3 linked regions of the Lonchura striata genome follow. The protein of the gene in region 1 purifies or fractionates together with the protein of each later gene. This does not show direct contact. Links are inferred from orthologs where the notes say so. Each region holds a gene or a part of one and is shown in the gene's direction. Other genes may lie near its edges.

What was found.
Region 2: the proteins of EGFR (region 1) and HEATR3 purify together in Homo sapiens (affinity purification with mass spectrometry; 3 studies listed by BioGRID and IntAct, with this or other methods). This does not show direct contact. The link is inferred for Lonchura striata from reciprocal best matches to the Homo sapiens genes EGFR and HEATR3.
Region 3: the proteins of EGFR (region 1) and RBM10 purify together in Homo sapiens (affinity purification with mass spectrometry, with the first as the bait; 3 studies listed by BioGRID). This does not show direct contact. The link is inferred for Lonchura striata from reciprocal best matches to the Homo sapiens genes EGFR and RBM10.

Annotation. Positions count from the first base shown.
Region 1 is NC_134603.1:105,542,322-105,549,960, reverse strand, and holds the start of EGFR (epidermal growth factor receptor), read left to right. Parts: upstream 1-4,624; 5' UTR 4,625-4,994; coding exon 4,995-5,100; intron 5,101-7,639. UniProt on the Homo sapiens protein: Receptor tyrosine kinase binding ligands of the EGF family and activating several signaling cascades to convert extracellular cues into appropriate cellular responses.
Region 2 is NC_134615.1:11,208,714-11,216,085, forward strand, and holds the start of HEATR3 (HEAT repeat-containing protein 3), read left to right. Parts: upstream 1-4,368; coding exon 4,369-4,491; intron 4,492-5,854; coding exon 5,855-6,027; intron 6,028-6,545; coding exon 6,546-6,633; intron 6,634-7,372. Other genes in the region: CNEP1R1 (nuclear envelope phosphatase-regulatory subunit 1), read left to right, coding at 379-450, 1,755-1,828, 2,161-2,270, 2,407-2,461, 2,714-2,755. UniProt on the Homo sapiens protein: Plays a role in ribosome biogenesis and in nuclear import of the 60S ribosomal protein L5/large ribosomal subunit protein uL18 (RPL5). Required for proper erythrocyte maturation.
Region 3 is NC_134638.1:897,513-904,933, forward strand, and holds the start of RBM10 (RNA-binding protein 10), read left to right. Parts: upstream 1-4,417; 5' UTR 4,418-4,481; intron 4,482-5,277; 5' UTR 5,278-5,288; coding exon 5,289-5,305; intron 5,306-6,308; coding exon 6,309-6,465; intron 6,466-7,192; coding exon 7,193-7,387; intron 7,388-7,421. Other genes in the region: NDUFB11 (NADH dehydrogenase [ubiquinone] 1 beta subcomplex subunit 11, mitochondrial), read right to left, coding at 2,616-2,739, 3,259-3,389, 3,995-4,147. UniProt on the Homo sapiens protein: Binds to ssRNA containing the consensus sequence 5'-AGGUAA-3'. May be involved in post-transcriptional processing, most probably in mRNA splicing. Binds to RNA homopolymers, with a preference for poly(G) and poly(U) and little for poly(A).

The DNA of each region.
Region 1 (7,639 bases):
TGACTATATGCAATTGATATGCAATTTATTGTGATGAAGGTTTAATTTCAACACTGATGCGTTTGTTGGTGTTGTCCTTTTTAAGTTCTGTTATACAAACAAACAAAAAACCAAAGAAACTGCTGGATTCTGCATATGGGATGAGGCAACTCGGGATGTAGGACAGATTGGTGAATGAGATGCTGGAAGCAGCGCCATGGAAAAGGGTCTGGGGGTCCTGGTTGACAGAAAGTTGAATGTGAGTCAGCAGTGCCATGGCAGCCAGGAGGGCCAAGCCTGTCCTGGGTGCATCAGGCACAGCATCACCAGCTGGGCAAGGGAGGGGATTGTCTCCTCTGCTCTGCACTGGGATCGCCTCACCTCGAGGGCTGGGGGTGGTTTTGGATAGCACAGTGTAAGAAAGATACAAAGCTATTAGAGAGCAGCCAAAGGAAGGCAACAAAGATGGTAAAAGGCCATGAGGGGAAGCTGTATGAGGAGCAGCTGAGGTCATTTAGTCTGTCCAGCCTTGAGGAGACTGAGGGGAGACCTCACTGCAGCTAAAATCTCCTCATGAAAAGAAGAGGAGGGGCAGAGACTGATTCTTCTTTGTGGTGACCAGTGGTGACCAATGTCAGGACCTGAGGGACTGGCTTGGAGTTGTGTCAGGGAAGGTTTGGGGTTTTACCCCCAGAGGGTGGTTGGGCACTGAACAGGCTCCCCAGGGAAGTGGTCACAGCCCCAAGCCTGACACAGTTCAAGTAGTTTTTGGATAACACTCTCAGGCACATGGTGTGACTCTTGGGGTGTCCTGTGCAAGGCCAGGAGTTAGAATCAATGATCCTGATGCATTCCATCCAACTCAGCATATTCTGTGATTCTGTAAATAGTGTTAAGCGAGGAGAGAAAGATAATCTGTGTAAAAATCCATCTATTTTCATCGGGGACACTCTTCAGAAATAGCATGATCCAAGGTTTAAATAGAGCTCTTGAGTGATAACCCTAGCTCTACCACTAAAGCTCCGCCCAAGGCAAATTATTTTACATCTATAAAATGGAAATGATAGGTACTAACCTGCTTTACAGGAGATTTGCAAAGATAAATTACTTAATGTGTGTGCAATATTTTCAACATGCAAAGTGCCATAAAGGTCTATGAATTTTTATCTCAGCCCTTGCTTTAAAACCTGAGTGAGCACTCATAGAATACAAACTACAATGCAAAATACAATGTCAACAATCTCAAACAACATGCAAAATCTGAGCAAACCAGATTGTAAAACTCCGCTAATTTGTCTCCATTTCTTGTCTCTCAGTAAAAGGCCTGACTTTAAAACCACTTTCACCACTTATTTACAGAGAAGAACAGCATCACCATTGAGAAATGGTTGCTGATTAATTTTTTTGCGGGGCAAATGCTGACCCACTCTTGGTGGATAATGAAAAGCAACCTTTTTTTTTTTTTCATGTAAGGAAAGGATCCAGCAGCAGGGATTTTTTAACTCTTGAGAGGGTTTTGAAACTCTATTTTGTTTGGAGGAAATGTGGAAGGGATAGAAGAATTAATCCTGCTTTTTCCACTGATAGGGAAATCAGTTATTCATCCTCTTGCAGCTACTTCTCTCCATGTGTGGCAAAGTAACCAGCTCAGTGGAGCAGGCAAGTGGCGGTGAGTCAAATTTTGCAATCCAGAAGCATGTTCATGTGGAAAAATTACCAGATTACACCATCTTCACTTCACAGGTCAGCATGTTTATGCTTAATATATAGAAGACATGATACATATATATACACACACATACTATAAAGCAAGCAAATCAAAAGAAAGCTGAAGACAGATGTTGCATTTAGTATTTTCATTATGAACTGTCAATTGAAAAATTGGTGATCAAAAGGTTGGCCTTTGTTCCATAACCTTTGATCCATGCACACATGCAGCCAGCAATAAAATTTTGCAACATGAATATTGAATGCCCTTGGTAAAATTCATGTTTGCTTCAGAGGAATTACACCAAAGGCAGTCACTGGGTATGTGACCAGCTGTTTAGGGAAAATGTCATGTTTGAATTTAAACCATTTCAGAAATTGCTCAGTTGGTAAAAAAGGCCTGAAATTCCTGCCTGTGATAAGCTTCTCAAACTTTAGTCTTAGAGTTCCTTTATGTGTCTTGTGACCTTGTCAAGCAGAGTACAATGCCTCAAAAGTAACACATTTGTGCTCACAAAGGTGGGAGGACAGAATTTACAGCAGCTTGCTGTGCAGCCCCTTCTGCAGTACTGCACTGCCAGCAGCAGATGAGAGTCTCCTGTAGTGGGTATCTGAAGCCTGGGAAAAAGATTTAAAGGGGCATTTGCCTAGTCTCTCCTTGCTCACCATGTCAGCAATGAAGGAGGTGTTTAGTTAGTATCGAATACTTGAATTTATGTGTGTTTGTGTAAGGGCAGTACATGATGGAGGGTGAAGCAAGTATGAAATGTTCCTGCCCAGTATATCAAGTAGAATAACAAAAATTCTGCAAAACAAGTGTTTGTTCCTCAACATGTTAGGACAGGATTTGGACCAGTTTATCCACTGAATTCACATGCAAAAATGTTTTCTTTTTTCCCTATGTTTAGTTTGGTTTTCATTTGTCACTTTGAATCCTCTCTTTCTCTAAATTAAAAAAACCCTATTACCTTCTATATTGGTAGCTTGATACCCAGTGTGCATGTCTAGGGGCACTTTTTAACTTACCTGCAGAACTGATTTGAAGTCAATTTCTTGCTTGTCTTAATTGCATTTCCTTTATCATAAGGCAAGCTGTAATCATTAGTGTGTGCTGAGGATGCTCTGCAAATCTTCCCTCCCTAGAAGTTGATCTCTTTTTCCTAGGTTTCTCTCACTTTTAAAGATCCTCCTATTTGTCTAAATAAATGAAAAAGAACCACATACACATAGTGTATATGAAGTTGCACTGTGTGAGAATCTTTGAAATAAATTTGTACTAATATTGCATTGTAAGCTAAGGTTCTGCCCTCAGTTACAGCCATGAAACCAATCACATGAATAGAGCTTCTCGGATGTTGTTAATGTGTGAGTTTACTTCAAAGTACACCTTCCACATTATTTACAAAATATAATTGAACCAGAATGTCAGTTACAGAATGTGAAAGCAGTCTTGTAATGCAACTCATCTTAGTAAACGATTAAAGGCATGTGGCCAGGCATGTGCTAGGATGTGTAAATGGGATGGTAGTTTTCTATGCCTAGTTAGGAGAGCGGCTAGTTAAAGTATCAGAAAAAAAAAAAAAAAGATTTTTCAGAAGAATTTGAGTGGTAGGAGAAGGGTGATGGATCTCTCAAAGAAACATGCATAACAGAGAAAAGTCAAGGTACACTCAGTGACTATTTTGCAATCTATTGTGCTCCAGTACCCTGTGACAGACACAGACATTTAGCACGGAATTTCCCGAACCTCATGTCATTATTGGTTTTAGTGCCGGAGTTCCCACTTAATCACAGCAGTTTTAAGTCTTCATATCCTATTGACTGTGTAACCTAAGCCCTCAGAAGAGCCCTCAGAAGAAATTACCACCGGTATTCAGCAGGTTTGAGTGTTGAATCATGATCTACTCGGAGAAACTCCAACCCAGACAAATGGCACGTCTGTGTCTTATTTACATACCTGAGTGACAAGACAGTGTTTCCTCCCACTTTCCAGAGAAACAGCCTGTTAAAAAACCATAGGAATATTTTAATGAATCCTGAATAGCTTGGGTTTTCCTCTTGACGGAAAGGAGCACCATACTCTTTTGCTTAATGTCTGTGGATGTACTTGGAGCACCTCAGGAACACTTGTGTTATTTTGTGTTTATTAAGTAACTTGCTACGCGGAGCAAGGAGCACTTTCTCAGTGCTGGTGGCCGGGGAACAGAAGCGGTACGGGCAGACAGGGACCCTGTTACCCCTGTGCTAAATTCGCATTAAAACTGAGCTGTTTTATTCCACGCACACACTTGGCCTTACAAGTATTGGGAGTAAAATGACCTGAACGAGAGCAGGACTGTTCGCAGAGGCCAAGTGGGCTCCGCTGATCTCGGGGGGCAGAAATGGGGCCGGAGCCCCGGAGATGCGCCCCTGGGGAGTGGATCGAACCTCCGGAGCTGCTTCCCTGCTCCCGGTAAAGCGCCTCAGCTCTCCCTTGCCCGCACTGCTCCCACTGGAGCTGCGGGGGGACCGTTCTCCCTGAGGAACGGGACGGGACAGAGCTCCTGCTGCGACCTCCCCCGGGACACCCGCACTGCTGTAACCCTCTGCCCCTCCACGACTGCCGGGCGGGAGCACACGGGAAGGCAGAAGCTGCGTTAGCGCCACTCCGCTTTTTTGCGAGCTGTGCCGCAAATGCACGCTCGTGCCTCTGGCAGCTGCCGGGCAGAAACTGCCGGGAAGTAGAAAATCCGCACATACACACCCTGCCGAGCAAGGAGGAACGGCTAAACTGTCTCGTCCCCGCTTCCACCTACTCTCATCCTATATTCCGGGACAGGTGGGGGGCCCGCCTCTTCTCCACCTCGACGGGGCCGGCGCTGCCGGTCTCTCCTCCCCTCTCCTCCTTGCTCCCTCCCAATCCTCCTCCTCCTTGGCGTCCCCAGAGGGAGCCCCTGCGCTCCGCGACCGAGTGGAGAGCGCAGCCGGGCGCACCCCGTCCCACAGCCGGCTCCAGCCGCTCCGCAAGCCCTTGTGCACCGGCCGCCGCCTGTAGCAGGAGGAGCAGAGGTGGGAGGAGGAGGAGGAGGAGGAGAAGGAGGAGGAAGGCAGCAGCCCGTCCGCAGCGGGGCACGCACGTGTGCGCGCAGACCTCGACGGCCGCCCTCCAGCATGCTGCTCGGAGCCGCGCAGGGCAGAGCGCCGGAGAGGAGCTGATCGCTGCCGCGGGAGAAGAGCAGAGGGGAGCAGGAGCGGCTCCGCGGAACCATCCGTGCGCCCGTCCCGTCCGACCCGCAGCCACTGCGCCGAGGGAGCGGCGGTCCCGCAGCATGGGCGGCCGCAGCCCCCTCGCTGCCGCCGGGCCCCGCGGCGCCGCTGTCCTGGTGCTGCTGCTGGGGCGCCTCGCTCTCTGCCTTGCCGTGGAGGGAAAGAAAGGTAGGGGGCCGGGGGGAAGAGGGCAGCGGGGTCCCGCCGCCCTTTGCTAGCTGCGTACTGGGGGACCAGAGAGCCGGCGCTGCGGGCGGCTGCGTTCCGCGGCCTCCCGTGGGGAGAGGCGGAGGGAAAGTCCCAACTACTTATTTCCCTAAGAAAAAAAACAAATCAAAACAAAAAACCCACCCCAAAAACAGAGAGAGGGGAGAAACGGGGAGAAGACTAAACCTATAGCAGCGATCACGCAGCCCTGACTTCCTGATTCTTGGTTTATTTTCTTTTGTGGGGGTGGAGGAAATAAAAGGGAATAAGCCTTGGCACATCTCATCGGTTGTGCTTCTTTAGTGTTTCTTTTTTCTTCTTTCCCCCTTCCCACGTTTCCCAGTCACTCCCCGGAGAGCACTTCCCGGCTCAGCCCAGCACAGCCGCTCTCGGCTCCCTTGCACCGGGGCGGCGAGGAAAAGCCGCGGGGTTCCCGAGTAAGCGCCGCTCCGGTAACCCGCTGTCGCACTGACCCGGACACCTCCGCTTGTCCTGTTCAGAAATAGTCATAGTGATAATAGAAAAAAGTATACACCTGGGGAGGAGGTGACTGAAAAAAAGGGAAACTTTGTGTGGGTTCTGGTTATCAGAAAGAGGAGGGATTAATCCCTCCGTCCCGTCCCGTCCCGAGGCTGCCGGCGCTGCCAGCCCCGGCGCTGCCCGCCCGTGCCGGCGGTGCGTGGGAACAGCTCGGCGGGGCTGGCTGTGGGGCAGGGGCGTGGGGCTGCCGCGGGTGCTTGGGTTTTCCTTCTTCAGTGGAGAAGCTGTCTCAGAGGATGAGAAGCCGTTTCTGGCTGGTCAGACCCGTCGCATTTTCTCTGTGTGTGGTGTTCTCTTTTCTAAGTTTGGAGAGCAGGCCCCGGCTGCTGTTCCAGCCGGAGAGCAGTCCTCTTTATCTTGGAAATCTGCCAGCCAGAGGAAAAAATGCAGATTTGGGTGGTTTGGTTTTTCTTCTTTTTCCTTTCATTCTTTTTAAAGAAAAAGCGGGAGAACTATTAGTTTCTAGAAGCCACTGCATGGCTTAGAGCAACTTAAGAGTCTTTTGTGACTGTGAATGGTAAAGCCACCCTGAAAGTGAGGAACACCCCATCCAAAAGAACTAGTTGCACAACTTTTAAAAAGTGGAAAGATTCTCTTGTTCCAGAAATCAAGTTCATACCTGTTGTAGATGTAACATGGGCAGTTTTCTTTCCTGGTTTTCTTTTTATTTATTTATTTTTCCTCACTCTTTGAAGCTGGTGAGAAGTAAAGTGCCTCCCATCTGCTCTGCCTGTCTTTTGAGATGCATTCTCAGGTGCACATGCCCTGTATAATATATTAAGAGTGAGGAGAAATACCTTGTTTATAATGTTTAATTCTGTGTCTCATAAACTTAGGAGGTTGCCAGTTTTTTGAGGATTACTAAATCATCAACGGCTACATGATAAATCCAATAGAGGTTATTCTCAGGATGTTGTGTCCGCAAGTAACTGGGTCCTCTACCAGAGGAACTGAGCTGGATGCTCAGTGGCAGAGGTGGAAGCAGAAGATTTCTTCAGAAAGCATTAATCAATTGATTTGAGTTATTAGTTTCTCCCCACAGTTGAAGATAAGCAAGAAAATTATTCAGAGGCACAAAATGAAGCAGCATCTGAGAATTGAGTGTTACTGATTTGAAGCAACAGGTCCAGCAGGTAGTAGAGGATCAGTGTATGCTTGGGACTGCCTCCTTGGTCAAATGATAAGACCTAGCATCAGATTTCAGAAAAATGCTGAAAGGAAACTTGCTGTCATAAATATATGGAACACTTCTGCAAGTTCAAATCTCATGTGAAAAGACACTTCTTAAAACTTTGACCTGATTTGTTCTATTACCAAAATGACATGTCTTGAAAAAAAAAAAGATGCCTGGGCAGCTGTTAGAAGAACATCAGAATCAGCCTATAAAATCCAATCAACATAATGTTTGAATGGAAATTTAAATACAATTGTGTCTTCTCCCAAAATTGTAGAATTAATGTTCTTGAAGATGGATGAGAGAAACCTGTTTTTGTTGTAACACTGTAGTCATTAAGATACAAACAGAAGCCTAGTTGAACATATTCCAGAACCAAACAGCATTGCTCAAAAGTGAAGTACTCTCAGCACAGGGATCAATACCCACCTCTATATACCTGCTCTGATGTTGACCCATATTATGTGAAGCAGAATTAATCTGGATTTCCACTGATATATCCCGGGAGGCCTGCATTGTGGTACCTGAGATAAATACCTGTGATAGCTGGCATGCCACTTATGCTGGCTGCATTTGACCCGTGTCCTTTGTGTGACAGCGCTCGGTGACAGTGCTACGGTCCAGCAAATTGCTTTTTGTTGCTATATACTGGTTTTATATCTCTAGTTTTGATCTGTAGCTGCAGACATTGTGGGATGGGAGTGTGCAGCTCCGTGTCGGGAGTGTGCATACAGGCGTGCCAGGCGGCTCGGGAGCTGCCAGGGTGGACTGTGGTAGCTTTCTGTA
Region 2 (7,372 bases), on another chromosome or scaffold:
TATGGTTTTCTGATACAGTTAGTATTTCAAAATGTGATACTTTTTTTTTGTTTTGTTTTGAGATGCGTTTTAAGTTACTATAAATCAAAGTCACTATTTCTGAAGATGTCCCAAAATAGTGTGATTTCTTAACTGTATTGATTTTTCTTTTTGTAAGTGGGAATGTTTTTTGGCTTTTAGATTAACTCCACCACTTATTTCTTACCTGAAATAGAGTAAAGCTACTATGGCTGTACTTCTGCTGCATATAAAGGATAATTGCATTGGCTTTTCTATCAGTTTAAGAACTGGGTGTGCATGGGGGAATTCTTTTTATCTTCTACTTTGAAATATGACTAAACAGATGATCTAATTATGTTTGATGCACATCTTCCCCAGATCTCAAAGCTTTTGAAAGAAGACTTACTGAATACATTGCATGTTTGCAACCTGCTACAGGACGTTGGAGAAGTAAGTTTGATATTCCAAGGAATAAATAGTCTTTCATGCTTGTTAGATTTACCAGTGTGTATCCTTTATTTAAGTTTGCCCAAAGAGAAATTTGTATTTAGGCTTGCTTTAAAATTTGTGGCATACATTCAAACACTCTGCAACAAGTTCATACAGGATAATAAACTAATATTTTAGCCAGAGTTAAAAAAATTAGGTTAAGTTTGAATTGGCTCAAGGCTGAATTATTCTGGAAATACCTGAAACAGTAAGTTGTGTTTGTTTCTGTTTTATCTGGTTTTTATTATGTTACTGAAGTTTTTTTCTTCAAGACTCAGACTTCCCAGACTGTTGCTGTAGTTACTTAAACTAAACATGGTTAGGTGAAATAGTCCCTCTAAAATTGAAGGTGAAAAAGTTACAGCAGTGTGCCATAAAGGCAGCTTTGTTTTGACAGGAAGGTTTGAAGGAGGGGGGAAGGCAAAAAATTCCACAGATATGCTGCCAGCTTTGGGATCCCTGGTCTGTGGTGGATACATACAACTTTGTTTTGTTTTTGAGACTGCTGAAGTTTTTCTACTCCAAGAATACAGACTTTCTTTTAGAACACATAAAATAGTATGTTTTCTCCTGAGAGGTCAATTTTGAATGAAGGAACTGAAAGAGACACTACTTAGAAAGCAAAACCAAACACCACTACCACCACCTCAAACCCCCTTGTTCCAGGGAAATCAGATATTTATGTGTAGTTCTGCTTTAGGAATGCATTTGGCTTCCAAAATGGCTGTTTTCTGTCAGTTACAATTAAAAAAAAAATTCTGGAAACTTTTAAGCATATTTAAATGAGGTTTGCATAACTGGTATTGTATTCAGTGGCTCATGTTTTTTCCCCAAATTGCTTGTTTTGTAATTCACATAAGAGGGACTTTCTCTTTTCATTATAATGGGGTGTGTGACCAATGTTAGCTTTTCTTCCTGTTATCCTAAAAAGAAAGTATTTATATGATATAGAGAAGAAGCTCTATGCTTTTGATAATCTTTTGGAAAGATAACTCTGGTTCCTTTAAAGGATCAGGATGTTTTTACTTGACAGAATTTAGATTTTTCAGATGTACTTGTTCTGTCCAGGAAGTTTGTACAGAATCCTTAGGGTTTCACATTTAGATGTTTCTTTGCATATTTTCATTTTTGCTTTCCAATTAGGAGCTCTTTCTCCCTCAGAAGTGAGAAAGGAAATAAATGTTTAAGAGTTGCTGCTGAAAAATAAATACATTTAAATTTGAGTGAGGTATACTGTTTATGACTCTCATTCTTTTCTTCATCAGTGATTTTGATAGTGGTATCAGTCTGCACAGCAACTGGGGCTTGGAACTGGTTAATAGACCCAGAGACACAAAAGGTAAGGTCAGGCTAATGCCTAATGTGCTGTGTTCCATAGCTTGGTGCTGCAGTCAGGTGGTGTATTGGAAACTGAAAGGCTGAACACATTCTCACATGAAACTGGGAGGTGATTTTTAGTCAAGCTATCAAGCTGTCTGGAATTGTTGTGGAATGTGTCCTGGGACATTGCCTGCCAAAATACTGTACTCTGAATGCTTATCTAAAGAATTGTTCACAAGTACTTGGAAATGGCTAGGGAGCAGTATTTTATTTTTAGTTAAGGGATCTAGGCAGCAACTTTCTGTGTGTTTTAGGAAGTATGCAGTTGGAATAACCCAATTTCTTTCCTAGGTATCATTTTTCACGTCACTTTGGAATCACCCATTTTTCACAATTAGCTGTATTACCCTAATAGGCTTGTTCTTTGCTGGAATACATAAAAGAGTGGTGGCACCATCAATGTATCCTTTGATAATGTTTGTCACGTTAAAAGTGTAGTTCCTGCAGCCTGTTGGAGCCTGTGCTAATACTGCGTTTTTAGTTTTTGCTTACTGTGTGTGCAAGTGTTACTTGCTTTCCTTGACACAATCCACACAGTATAGCAGCCCGATGCCGAACTGTTTTGGCAGAATATAATATGTCCTGTGATGATGTAAGTGTTAGTGCTTCATTGCCTAAACCTTCTTTGTTAAAAGAAAAAAAGGAAATAATCCAAAAAGTCTGTTTTTCTGAACAGCACTTGTATATTCTTCAGCAAATTCTGTGTGTCTGTGAAACTGGAATGTGGAATACTTAGTATCATTTTGTGTGTTGTTTTAAACTCTTACTGTAACATTGAACTTGAAGTGTAATTGTTGGGTTCAGCATTCAGGGTTTAAACTTTGTTTTCTTTTCTGTCTTGCAGACTGGAAAATTAATTTTGAAACCTAGGCCTCATGTTCAATAAGGGCTGTCTTCCTTCATTTTTTTCCACTGCCATGGAAACCAAAAATGACCTTTTTTAAGGTAGTATGACAGCAAAAAAATTAAAATGGGACTGGTTGTCACTGCCTGGGAGTAAAAGTCTTAACACAGTTGACAGTGAAAGTGTGCAATATTACTTTCTTGAATATTTATCCAAATTCTTTGTTATCACATTATCAGTGCTTTTGCTACTTCTGATTACCTCTTTTTCAGTATTAGTGTCACTTTTTTACTTCAGCTAGAACAGAACATACAGGTGAAGTATGTTAATTGGCAATGAAGTTGAACTTGAAAATGAAACCTCATTTGTGTTACGTGTCTTTCTAAGCTATTGTAAATAGCAGATTGATGCCAATGTTCAGGAAAAAAGTAAAATCTGGTGTATGGATTTTCTTGTTCTCATGAAGAGTATTGAAAGGAACGTTTGCCATTCTCCTGATGTTTTATTAGCACACTTCCTCATTGCAGCCGTCCTTGTCTCCTGGTCTCTCTTTTGGAACTGGTTTAAAGGCTCGCAGGAAGACTGACTGTTTGTGCCGGAGAAAACTGGTCTTACTGTTTAAGAACTTCGCAAATATATCAAGGATTACATTTGTCAAGTTGTGTATATAGTGCACCAGCCACTTTCCTTGTGGTCATATGTAGTTTCTTGTTTGATCTGGTTCAAAACACTTATTTTAAGATTTTAATTTTTTTTTAATTGTCTTAAATATGCTTATATCTTCCCAATTGTAAGTTTGTACTGTATCTAAATCCACCTGACCATTCTGAGTGGGTTTTGTTGCTCTGATAGTCAGAATACGAAACTGGTATTGCAAATGTGTAACTTAAGATTTGGTGAAGAAAATCTAGAGTGCCACAATAAAATAACAAAGTTTGTTATTCAGAGTGTTAACAACAAGGCGTGGACGATATACACATAAAGTGTAACTTTTGAGTAGCTAAAACTGGCAAATTTTAAGGGTTTAAGTTGTTCAAGGTGCCTTTTAAAATGTTTTGAACTCTTTAAATTGACTCTAACTGCAAAGCTCTTGCAACTTCAGTAACCCCTACTACAGGGTAGACTGGCTTTTAAAGGCAGTAATTGATGTAACTTTGTCAGTTGAAACTTAAGAATTGTCTTCTGGATTTTTTTTCCAGTAAGTCTTCTGCCCATCCATTATTTTTAACTGCTGTATATTTTGTAGGTAAATGTGTATAAAATAAAATCTTTGTATAAACAGGTGTTATCTTCTTTTGTACTGTGCAAATACAGATCTCCACTGAACACAGAAGAACTTCAGAAAATTTATAGCTGCACTCTCTAACTTTCATACCGGACCAACATTTCCTGTATTTGATGTGGGTCTTATAATCTAAGATACTGACACCCGAGAGGAAACCCCTTCCAGGTTTCCACCCTCCAGGTCAATCCCGCCTCTGTAAGTGCCCTTAGAGGAAATCGTTTCTCTCGATAATTTTCTCGGAGCGCAGGAGGCGCGGTGCCGCCCTCGGTGCCGGGCTGGGGTCGGTCGGACGCGCGGCCGCGGCAGGGCGGGGCGGGCGCGGCGCCTGCGCGGGGCCGCACACGTGGGCGCGCCGGCGCCGAGCGCAGCCATGGGCAAGAGCCGGGCGCGGCGGTTCCGCAGGGCGCCCCGAGCCGCCGCCGGCCCCGCGCAGCAGCGCGACGGCGAGCGCGGCCCCGAGGAGGAGGAGGCGGCGGCGGAGCTGCTGGAGAAGGTGCGCGCGGGGCCGGGCGGCGGGCGCGGGCGGGCGCGGCGGGAGCCCCGCTCCGGACCGGGGCAGCGGCGGGGGCTGCGGGGCCGGGCACGGGGGCGAGGCCTCGGATTCCCCCGCGCCGGTGCCGGGCGAGGCCCCGGGCGCGGTCCCGGCCCCGGCGGGAAGGAGCCGAGCGGGGCCGCCCCTCCCTCGCTCGCTCCGCTCCCGGCCGTCGCTCCCGCCGCGTCACGGCCGCGCCGGCGGGGCGGCCCCGGCACCGCCCGCGCTGCGGCGGCGGGGCGGGGCGCTCCCAGCGCCTCCGCCCTGCGGCGTGCCGAGCGGTTCTTGCGGGGCTCGCCTTCGGTCTCCCCGGCCGGAGGCTTCTGCACGTGGATAGAGCCAAGTGTGCAAGAGCCACATGTAGGGAATAAGGGATAGAAAATGCTGAGAAAGACTGGTTTGGCCACTTGTAGGCCATGGTCCTGGCTTAAGTATTGCAGGTGAAAACTGATGTAAATCTCCTTCCGCAGGTGTGATTTCAGAATCAGAAGCAAAAATCAGTTTGCCTTTAAGTAATTAAATCCCCTTTGCTCGCTTCACCCCACCTAATTCATTGAACACACCACTTATTGATTATTCTTTTGGACTAACCTGTTTAGGAAAGAAATGGGAAGAGAGAATAAAGGCACAGATGAGCATGAGCTGAGACCCCTTTTTCAGAAATAAAGGCACAGATGAGCATGAGCTGAGACCCCTTTTTCAGTGGAGGCAGAATCTGATGTTACCACTCTTCTGTTCTGCTCTTCAGCAGATGTTTATCTGCTAGGTTTTCAACAAACTCCGTGGCCTTCCAGGATATGCACTTCTACTGTGTTATTAATTTTGCAATTTGTAATTCTTGTATCTCACCTAAACTGTTACAGCATGTGTGAACATTGTCTTCAGGAATGTAGGGAACACTTGTTTCTTGCTGTTATGCAGATGCTTTTTGTTTAAAGGCTATATTTTTTGTTTTTTTCAGCTTGTCTTTATGGAGGCATGTGTTATGTCTGTTACACTTCAGTGATGATATTTTCCTTCTCACTTCAGTCTTTTTTTTTAATACATGGTAATTGAGGTCTCACCAGTGCCAGCTAGTGTCAAATCTGTGTCTGGACTGTGGCTATCTTGTCAAATACCCAGAATAGCATTTATCTAGTCATAAAGTTAACACACATAGCCCAGTCAAGGATTTATAAGCTTTCATGGAAGTTAAAAGTTCCTGCTTCCATTCAGGAGCAGTAAAATGGGAACCACGGTGCTGGCCCTGATCAATCTTTTCACTCAGGAGAACCCTTGAGCTCCTTTTCCCTCACTGTGACGTGCCCTGTCCGTGTCTCCGCAGCTGCAGCACCCAAGTGCTGAAGTGAGGGAGTATGCCTGTGCTGGGATTTCCAAGCTGCTGCAGCAGAAGCACGTCATCCCAGCCTTTGTGCAGCGGGACGTGGTGCGCTGTCTGGGGCCCTTGCTGATGGATCCCAGCTTAGCTGTCAGGGAGACTGCTGCAGGTGCTCTCCGGTAAGCACTGGCCACTGCTCAGGTGGAATCAGGGGATCATGGCACAGGGGAAAACTGTGGGGTTCTGCTGGTGACAGCTGTGAACTGCAGTGCCTTCTTCTCTTAAAGCTTCTCTTGCTTTAATTCTGGCCTGAGGAACTATGCCTACATTAGCTGAAGTCTGTGGGGGAGAGGAGCTTTTCTTGCTCTGGCAGACTTTAATGTCAGGAGCAGGCTTTGTGCTAGAAATATATGGCTTTGTTAGGAAATAGAACTTGAGTGCAGTTTGTGTCGTGATGTTTTAGTACAGATAAACTTTCTAATTATGCTTCATGAATAAATAGAAATAATTTTTTTAACTGCAAGGTTATTCTCTTGCGTTAGTGAGGTAGAAGACTAAAGCTACAGTTTAAGCAAATTGAGTTTAAAACAAAAAGTACCATAACGTTTAGAGAAGAATATCAAAGGCATGGGGTTTTTGAAATGTTTTTGGAAGGTATTGTATCTCATCCAAAACACTAATTTTTTGTTTTCCCCAGAAATCTGAGTGCTTGTGGAGGATTTGATGTCTGTGATGACATGGTGACAAGTGACATCATGACACCCCTGGTTGTACTTCTCAAAGAGGTGTGCTTATTTTTGTTTTGATTTTAAACCTGATATAGGTATTTAATTGTCCCATGTACAAAAGCAGTTCTATTTTTGTAGCTGTTGTTGCAATAAGGTACTTGAAAGATCTTTTAAAAGAATGTTTTGATATGTTTAGTGATACAAAAGTTATTCCAGAGATTTCTGACCGCTACCTTCTGGCTTCTGGCCACCTAACTTGTGTCCACGGTGAGGTTCTCTGCTTAGGATGAATTTTTGAGTGAAAGGTTTGGACGTTTTGGGTCTGTAATGTCAGTTAAGACAAGTTTGTTCTGTCAGTGAGAATCAAGGTCCTTTATTTATGTTGTGGTATTATTCTGCTGATGTTTTTTTGGTGAGCAATTTTGTCTCAATGGGTATTTGGATCTAGAGCTGGAAAGTTACTGTAGAATAACCTGTACTGAATTTGTATTCTTTATTTGGTCCAGGTGTTGCATTGCAGTTTGGATATTGCATTGATTTCTCTTACCTGCTGTCTTTCTACGAGCAGCCTTGAGCAATATCATAATTTTCTGTATGTTTCTTCCCCATTTTAAAATATGAGTAGTAGCATTACTATAGAGCGCAGTAAGGTATTAACTGAGTTAATCTTCGTGGTTAGAAACACCTGTTGCCAACGGCATACAGACTATTAGCAAGAAACAGCACTTCAGGTTCTAAAATTCCCAAGTATTTTTTTTAATCAGAAAGTGATTCCAAATACTAACTACAAAGTGAG
Region 3 (7,421 bases), on another chromosome or scaffold:
GGGGACACGGACAGGTCAGGGGACAGTTGGGGACAGGGACAGTCAGGGGATGCACGGGGACAGGGACAGTCAGGGGACAGCTGGGGACAGGGACAGGTCAGGGGACAGTTGGGGACAGGGACAGTCAGGGGATGCACGGGGACAGGGACAGGTCAAGGGACAGCTGAGGACACCAGGAGACAAGGACAGGTCAGGGGACACACAGGGACATCCATGGGCAAAGGGAAGCTGGACATCTGGGGACAAGGACAGGCCAGGGGACAGCTGGGGACAGGGACAGGTCAGGGGACAGCTGGGGACAGGGACAGCAAGGAACTGGACATTTGGGGACTGCCAGCTGGACATTTAGGGACAGGGACACGGGACAGGCAGTCACACGGGGACAGTGCTGGGGACACTGGGAGAGACATGGGGTGATGCTGGGGGCGAGAGGTGACAGCTGTGGCGACCTGAGGTCACCGACAGCCGGGGTGACACAGAGGGTGGCACTGAGCAGGACACAGTGACACACTGGTGACAAGAGGTGACACCAGGCACAGGGGATGATGTGGAGGTGATACCAGGTGACACTGGAGGTGGCACTGAGGGACACGAAGGGATGGAGAGAGTGATGCAGGGTGACACCAGGTGACAGCGGGGACACAGAGAGTGACACCAGGGACACCGAGGGTGACACCAGGTGACAGCAGGGACACCAAGGGTGACACCAGGTGACAGCGGGAACACAGAGGGTGACACCAGGTGACAGTGGGGACACCGAGGGTGACACCAGGTGACAGCGGGGACACAGAGGGTGACACCAGGGACACAGAGGGTGACACCAGGTGACAGCGGGGACACAGAGGGTGACACCAGGTGACAATGGGGACACAGAGGGTGACACCAGGTGAATGGGGTCAGGGCGGGGCCACCAGGTGCGACACCCCCGCGCTGTCCCATTGGCTGTCACCGCCCCGGCGACACCTGGGACGGACAGGGCGACACGCAGGGATGGAGGGACACACGGAAGGGTGGGGAGGGACACTTGGGGACAGCGAGGTGGCACTAGGGGACATCAGACCACCCCAGCACCCCCCAGACCCAGGCACAGCACCGCCCCCCCCACCTGAGAGCGCTCCCAGCACCGGGGAGCCCGCGGGGGTCCCGGGGGTCCCGTCCCGGGGCGATCCCTCGGGGCCTCCCTTGCGGGGGTTCCCCATTCCTGGGGGGTTCCCCATCCCCGGGGTCCCACCCGGGGGGGGGTTCCCCATTCCCGGCGGTCCCCGAGCGGGGCTCGCAGCCCCGGCCCGCGCTCCCCATCCTGAGGGTCCCGGTGTGTGTGTGGGGGGGGCGGTTCCCCCTCACAGCTCCCCCCACGGCCCCCTCAGGCCCGGCGCGGCTTCCCCCAAGGCGGGGCCGCACTAGCCGGCCCCGGGGCCGCCTCCCCGCACCCCTCCAGGCCGGAGAAGCCCCCGAGGAGCCCCGGGCTCGCCGCCGGCCCCGCACCAATGTCGCTGTCCAGGCCCCGCCGCCGGGTCCCGCCCGCTCCGCTCGGCTCCTCCGCGACAAGATGGCGGCCGCGGCCGCTGCCACCCGCCGCCCCCTCCCTGCGCGCGAGAGGCCCCGCCCTCCGCGCTCTCCCATTGGTCAGCGCCGCCCGGCGCCGCGCTCTCATTGGCTGTCTCCTCCCGCCACCGCCCGCCCCCTCCCTCCCCGCCTCAGCCGACGCGAGGATTGGGCGGGCGCGCCCCGGCTGGCCACGCCCCTTTTCCTGCCGCAGAGCCCCGGATGGGGAAGGCCACGCCCCCTGCTGGGCCTCGTGACCCGGCGCGGCGCGCGCCGCCCCGACGGCGGCCGAGAGGGGACAAGGGGCTGGAAAGGCGGAGTGGGGGGGGCTACGGGGGGTACGGGGGGGTCTGGGAGCCATAGGGGCCCGTGGGGGGCTATAGGGACACAAAGGAGGTTTGTGGGGGCTTATAGGGGCCTATCAGAGGCTTGTAGGAGCGCTTGAAGAGCCCACAGGAAACCGCGGAAAACTTTACGTAGTGTCATGCCGAATTGCACAACTATGGGGAACCGTATGCAAAAATTTAAATCAAGGTCTCCGAGGTAACGCAGGAACCTATAGAAACCTAACGGGGGCCCTCAGAGCCACAGGCGGCTACACACAGGGGCTTGGGGAGGATTTGAGCGGGCTATGGGGCACCAAAGGGGGTCTAGTGCAGCCCAGGGGGAGCGTGGGGAGCCTCGGGGGTCTCCAGGGCCCCAGAGGGGCTCACTGGCCGCTTATGCGGGGCTTGGTGGCTGTAGGGGGCCATGGGGGGCTCACAGGGGCTGTGGGGAGCTCCAGGGGCTCATGGGAGGGGCCATGGGGATCAGGGCGCCATTTCCGCATGGTGTCGCGGCCTGGTGACGTCAGAGAGCCGAAAGGGCCGCTGGGAAATGCAGTCTGATGAGCACGCGGAAATGGCCGCGGGACCAGAGCACCAATCCCGCGGCGTCGTTGCCTGGAGACGTCACTGGGCCGCAGGGGCCGATGGGAGATGTAGTTTCTTGTTCTTCCCCCCAAAATAAAAGGCGCAGGAGTCAGGGGGGGATCCAGAACTTTATTCACAAACCAACACCGGGGTCTGGGGTCACTCCAGGGGGGGCAGGGGGAGGCGCTTGGGGTCGTAGTAGTTGGAGGTGAGCAGGGGCAGCCCCCGGCGCTCCCGCTCCCGCACCTGGATCTCGGCCTCGCGCCGCGCCCACTTCTGCAGCCTGTGGGGGAGGGGGTGGACAGGTGAGCCCCACACCTTGGGGATCCATGGGGACATCCCAAAGCCCCTGCCAGGTGTCCAAATTCCTCCCTCCTCAAGGGGCCTGGGATGGACCCTGGGATACCCCTATAGATCCCATACAACCCCCCAGAGTCCACCCTAAGCCCCCTCAGCCTCCTATAGCCCCCCCAGGGCTCTGTAGCCCCCTAAATCCTCTCCCAGATCCACCATGGGCTCCTATACACACCCTCAGAGCTGCCCAGGGCCCTACAGACCCCCAAAAAATTAATGGAGATCCCCATAGGATGCACAGGGGGGGGTCTTGTGGGCCCCCAAATTCCCTTGCGAGCTCCTACAGCACTCTCAGGAGACCCTCCAGCACCCAAAGACACCCCAAAAAAACCCAAAAATTTAGTTAAGAGCCCCTCCACAGCTTCCCCACAATCTCCCCTTGGGGCTGCCCCTCTCCCCCTCTTCACCGTGGGGGGGTTTCCCAGGTGAGAACCCCCCGATCACAGACCCATAGTCGGGCAGGTAATGCACGAAGACGGAGCCCAGGACGATGGCGATGGAGATGCCGGCCACGAAGGCGGCGCGCATGTTCAGCACGTCGGCATCGGGGTCGGCCGAGAAGCCATGATAGTCGGGGTTCTGTGTGGGGGGAGGGTCCTGTGAGCCCCCTGCCCCACCCAGGCACCCCCAGGTGTGTCCCACCCCCTCCCCCTGGACCCCCAGGTGTGTTCCACCCCCTCCTCAGGGCCAGAGGAGCCACCTGAACCCAAACCCCACCCCAAGGTGTGTCCCACCCCCTCCCCTTGGACCCCAAGGTGTGTCCCACCCCCTCCCCCTGGACCCCCAGGTGTGTTCCACCCCCTCCTCAGGGCCACAGGAGCCACCTGAACCCAAACCCCACCCCAAGGTGTGTCCCACCCCCTCCCCTTGGACCCCAAGGTGTGTCCCACCCCCTCCCCCTGGACCCCCAGGTGTGTCCCCCTCCCACACCACAGCCCTGACCACGCCCCTTTACAGCCCTGCATTCACCTGAGCACACTTAAACCCCTCCCCAAAACAGGCCCCGCCCATAAAGCCCCGCACCAACACCTCCCCACCCACCAAAAGCTCCGCCCACAAGATTTAAACCACGCCCCTCCAACATCCGCCATTTTTTCTTTACAGAAGCCCCGCCCCTGACCACGCCCCCACCGTCCCCACACAACCCCCGCCCCGCCGCTGTCGCTTTGCCCTTGGCCTCTCACCTTCCTCTGCGCCACCAGCATCGGCTCCTCCTCGTGCGCCTCGGCCCCGAGCGGCCGCGGCAGCGCCACAGCCCCGGGCGATCCCGCCGAGCGGCCCCGAGCCCCGGCGGGCAGCGCCCGCAGCGCCCGCAGCGCCCGCCACAGCGCCGCCATCTTCCCCCGCCGCTCCGCCTCGCCCCTTCCTCCCCCTCAATCCGGCCAATCGCCGCCTCGCATTGGCGCTCCGCCCCGCCCCCGCGCGGCGCAGCCAATCACAGCGCTGCACCTCCTTTGGCCCGCCTACTTCCTCGCCGTGGCCGCGCCAGTCGTAGCGCTGCACCGCCCCCTCTACAGCGCGGACCAATAAAAACGCGGCGTTTTCGGAGTGGCGGGAGGACTAACCAATGGGAGCGCGGCGAGGGCGGGCGCGCGGGACGGGCCCGGCCGAGCGGGAGCGGCGCCGCCATTTTGGCGCTGGGCAGCGGCGGCGGTGGCGGCGCCCGGGAAGGTCGGGACGGCGTGAGGGGCGTGAGGGGCGGGACGGGCCCGGCTGGGACGGGAGGAGCCTGCGGGGAGGGGCGGGGCTGACCGGGAGGGGCGGGGCTGACCGGGACTCCCGGTGCCGTTTGTGAGGGAGGGGGGTGTGAGAGCGGGACCCGGGGCTGGTATTTTAATGCTAATTAGGGGGTGGTGCGTTGCATGTTAATTGAGGGGTATATTTATATGCTAATTAGGGGTGGCGCGTTGTATGTTAATTAGGGAGTGTTTGCATGCTAATTAGGGGTGGTGGGTTGTGTGTTAATTAGGTGTGGCTTTATGTTAATTAGGGCGGGGTGTGAGGGTGGTCGTGTCTGCTCGTGCTCCCCTGCACAGGTCCCAGTGGCTCCCAGTTCATCCCAGTTCAATGTCCATTTCCCCCTTGTTCCCCTTCTGGCCTTTCCAGTTTGCCACAAAATTTTCCAGTCGTTCCTCCCAGTCCATCCCAGTTCCTCCCAGTCCATCCCAGTTCATTCCGTTCTGTTCCCATTGATCCCAGTCCATCCCAGTAACCGCCCAGTTCCTCCCAGTCCATCCCAGTTCATTCTGTTCTGTTCCCATTGATCCCAGTCCATCCCAGTAACTGCCCAGTTCCTCCCAGTCCATCCCAGTTCATTCCATTCTGCTCCCATTGATCCCAGTCCATCCCAGTAACTGCCCAGTTCCTCCCAGTCCATCCCAGTTCATTCCATTCTGTTCCCACTGAACCCAGTCCATCCCAGTAACCGCCCAGTTCCTCCCAGTCCAACCAGTTTCTGCCCTCCCAGGTGCTGGCACCATGGAGTACGAGCGCAGGTGAGGGGGGAACCTGGGGATCCCCAAAATTCGGGATCTGGGGGGAACATTGGGCAGCTCTTGAGGACTCCCCGTGAAATTAAATGGAATATTTTGGGGAGGTGACACTGGGGAGGGAGGGGACATTTGGGGGCACCTCAGGGGGTATTTGGGGATGCCCTGGGGGGGGTGAGGGGACATTTGGGGACCCCTGAGGGCAGAGGGGACTTTGGGGACCCCAGAGGGTGGAAGGAACCATTGGGGGGTTCAGGATTCATTGTGCAGATTTGGGTCAGTATTTGGGGTCTGGATTAGGGGTCCAGATTTGGGGTGCAGGATTTGGTGTCCAGGATTTGGAGTGCAGGATTTGGTGTCCAGATTTAGGATCCAGGATTTGTTATACATATTTGGGGTCAGAATTTGGTGTCCAGGATTTGGGGTCCAGGATTTGGGGTCCAGAATTTGAGGTTCAAGATTTTTTCTGGAGATTTGGGGTCCAGATTTGAGGTGCAGATTTGGTGTCCACGATTTGTTCTGCAGATTTGGGGTCCAGGATTTGGGGTGCAGATTCGGGGGTCAGGATTTGCTGTCCAGGATTTGGGGTCCAGATTTGGTGTTCAGGATTTGGGGTGCGGATTCGGGGTCAGGATTTGCTGTCCAGGATTCGGGGTCCAGATTTGCTGTCCAGGATTTGGGGTGCGGATTTGGGGTCCGGATTTGCCGTCCAGGATTTGGGGTTCAGATTTGCTGTCCAGGATTCAGGGTTCAGATTTGCCGTCCAGGATTTGGGGTCCAGATTTGCTGTCCAGTATTCGGGGTGCCGATTTGGGGTCCAGATTTGCTGTCCAGGATTTGGGGTGCGGATTCGGGGTCAGGATTTGCTGTCCAGGATTTGGGGTCCAGATTTGCCGTCCAGGATTCGGGGTGCCGATTCGGGGTCCAGATTTGCCGTCCAGGATTCGGGGTGCGGCTTCGGGGGGTCCCTCCGAGGTCTGGGCAGCAGCGCTGACCTCGCCCCTCGCAGGGGCGGCCGCGGGGACCGCACGGGGCGTTACGGGGGCGCCCCGGCCCCCTCCGAGGACGGCTCCCGCGCCCAGCGGGACCACGACTATCGCGACATGGACTACCGTGGCTACGGGGGACCCCCCGAGGGGCCGCCCGCCGCCGGGACCCCCCCCCAGGTGGGTGCTGGGACCCTGCTGAGCTTTATTTTAGCGTTAGAGTTTCGGTTAAATGCGTGGGATGGCGCTTTTTGTTGGGATTTAAATGTTTCTTGGCGTTTACTTACGTTATAGTTTTGTAACCGTAACGATGTTTTACTGAATTGAACGGAAAACATAATAAGTGCATAAATATAACACATAGCAAATCAAAAATAATAAGATTAAAATAATAAAATACACAAAAACGCGTGTAATTCTAGCATAATGTAATAAAAGGAATTTTCATAAGGTGTTTTTAAGATAAGCTTTACAATTAAGGAAGAATACTTGAATTTTTTAAATTTCAAGTCCTTAATTAGCTAATTGTAGTTTACAACGTGCACTTTTTTGTTTGACATTAAAACATTAACTAACAGCCAAAATGATGAAGAAAAATTAGCTTTTGTTTTAAAAGTTACTTGTTTATTACTGTATTTTAAAACAGTTAAGGTAAAGCTTTTTGCTGTGCAATATTGCAGAGTTTTATTTACGTTTTACTTATATAATTTTAACTTTACTATTTAATAATGGTAGTTTGTTTTACAGGTTTAGATTAGACCCTGTGTTTTTGGGAGTTAGTATTTGTTAATACAAAAAAAGTGAAACATTCAGTGAAAGGCGCTTTAACTAAGTATTTATTAGTAGAGAAAAAGCGAAATTTCCAGTGAGCAGGGCCCTCACCATCGCCCTCCCTCCCCTGTGCCAGGCGTCCTACGAGACCACGGAGCCGCCGCGGAAGCGGGAGCCGGCGCGGGAGCCTCCCCGGGAGCCGCCGGCGCTGCCGTTCGGCGCCGACGGCGATTACCGGGACCAGGATTACCGGGAGGGCGCCGAGGAGGAGCCGCGGGCCAGCACCATCGTCATGCTGCGCATGCTGCCGCAGGCGGCCACCGAGAACGACGTGAGCCCCGCCCCTGGGGCTGGCCACGCCCCTT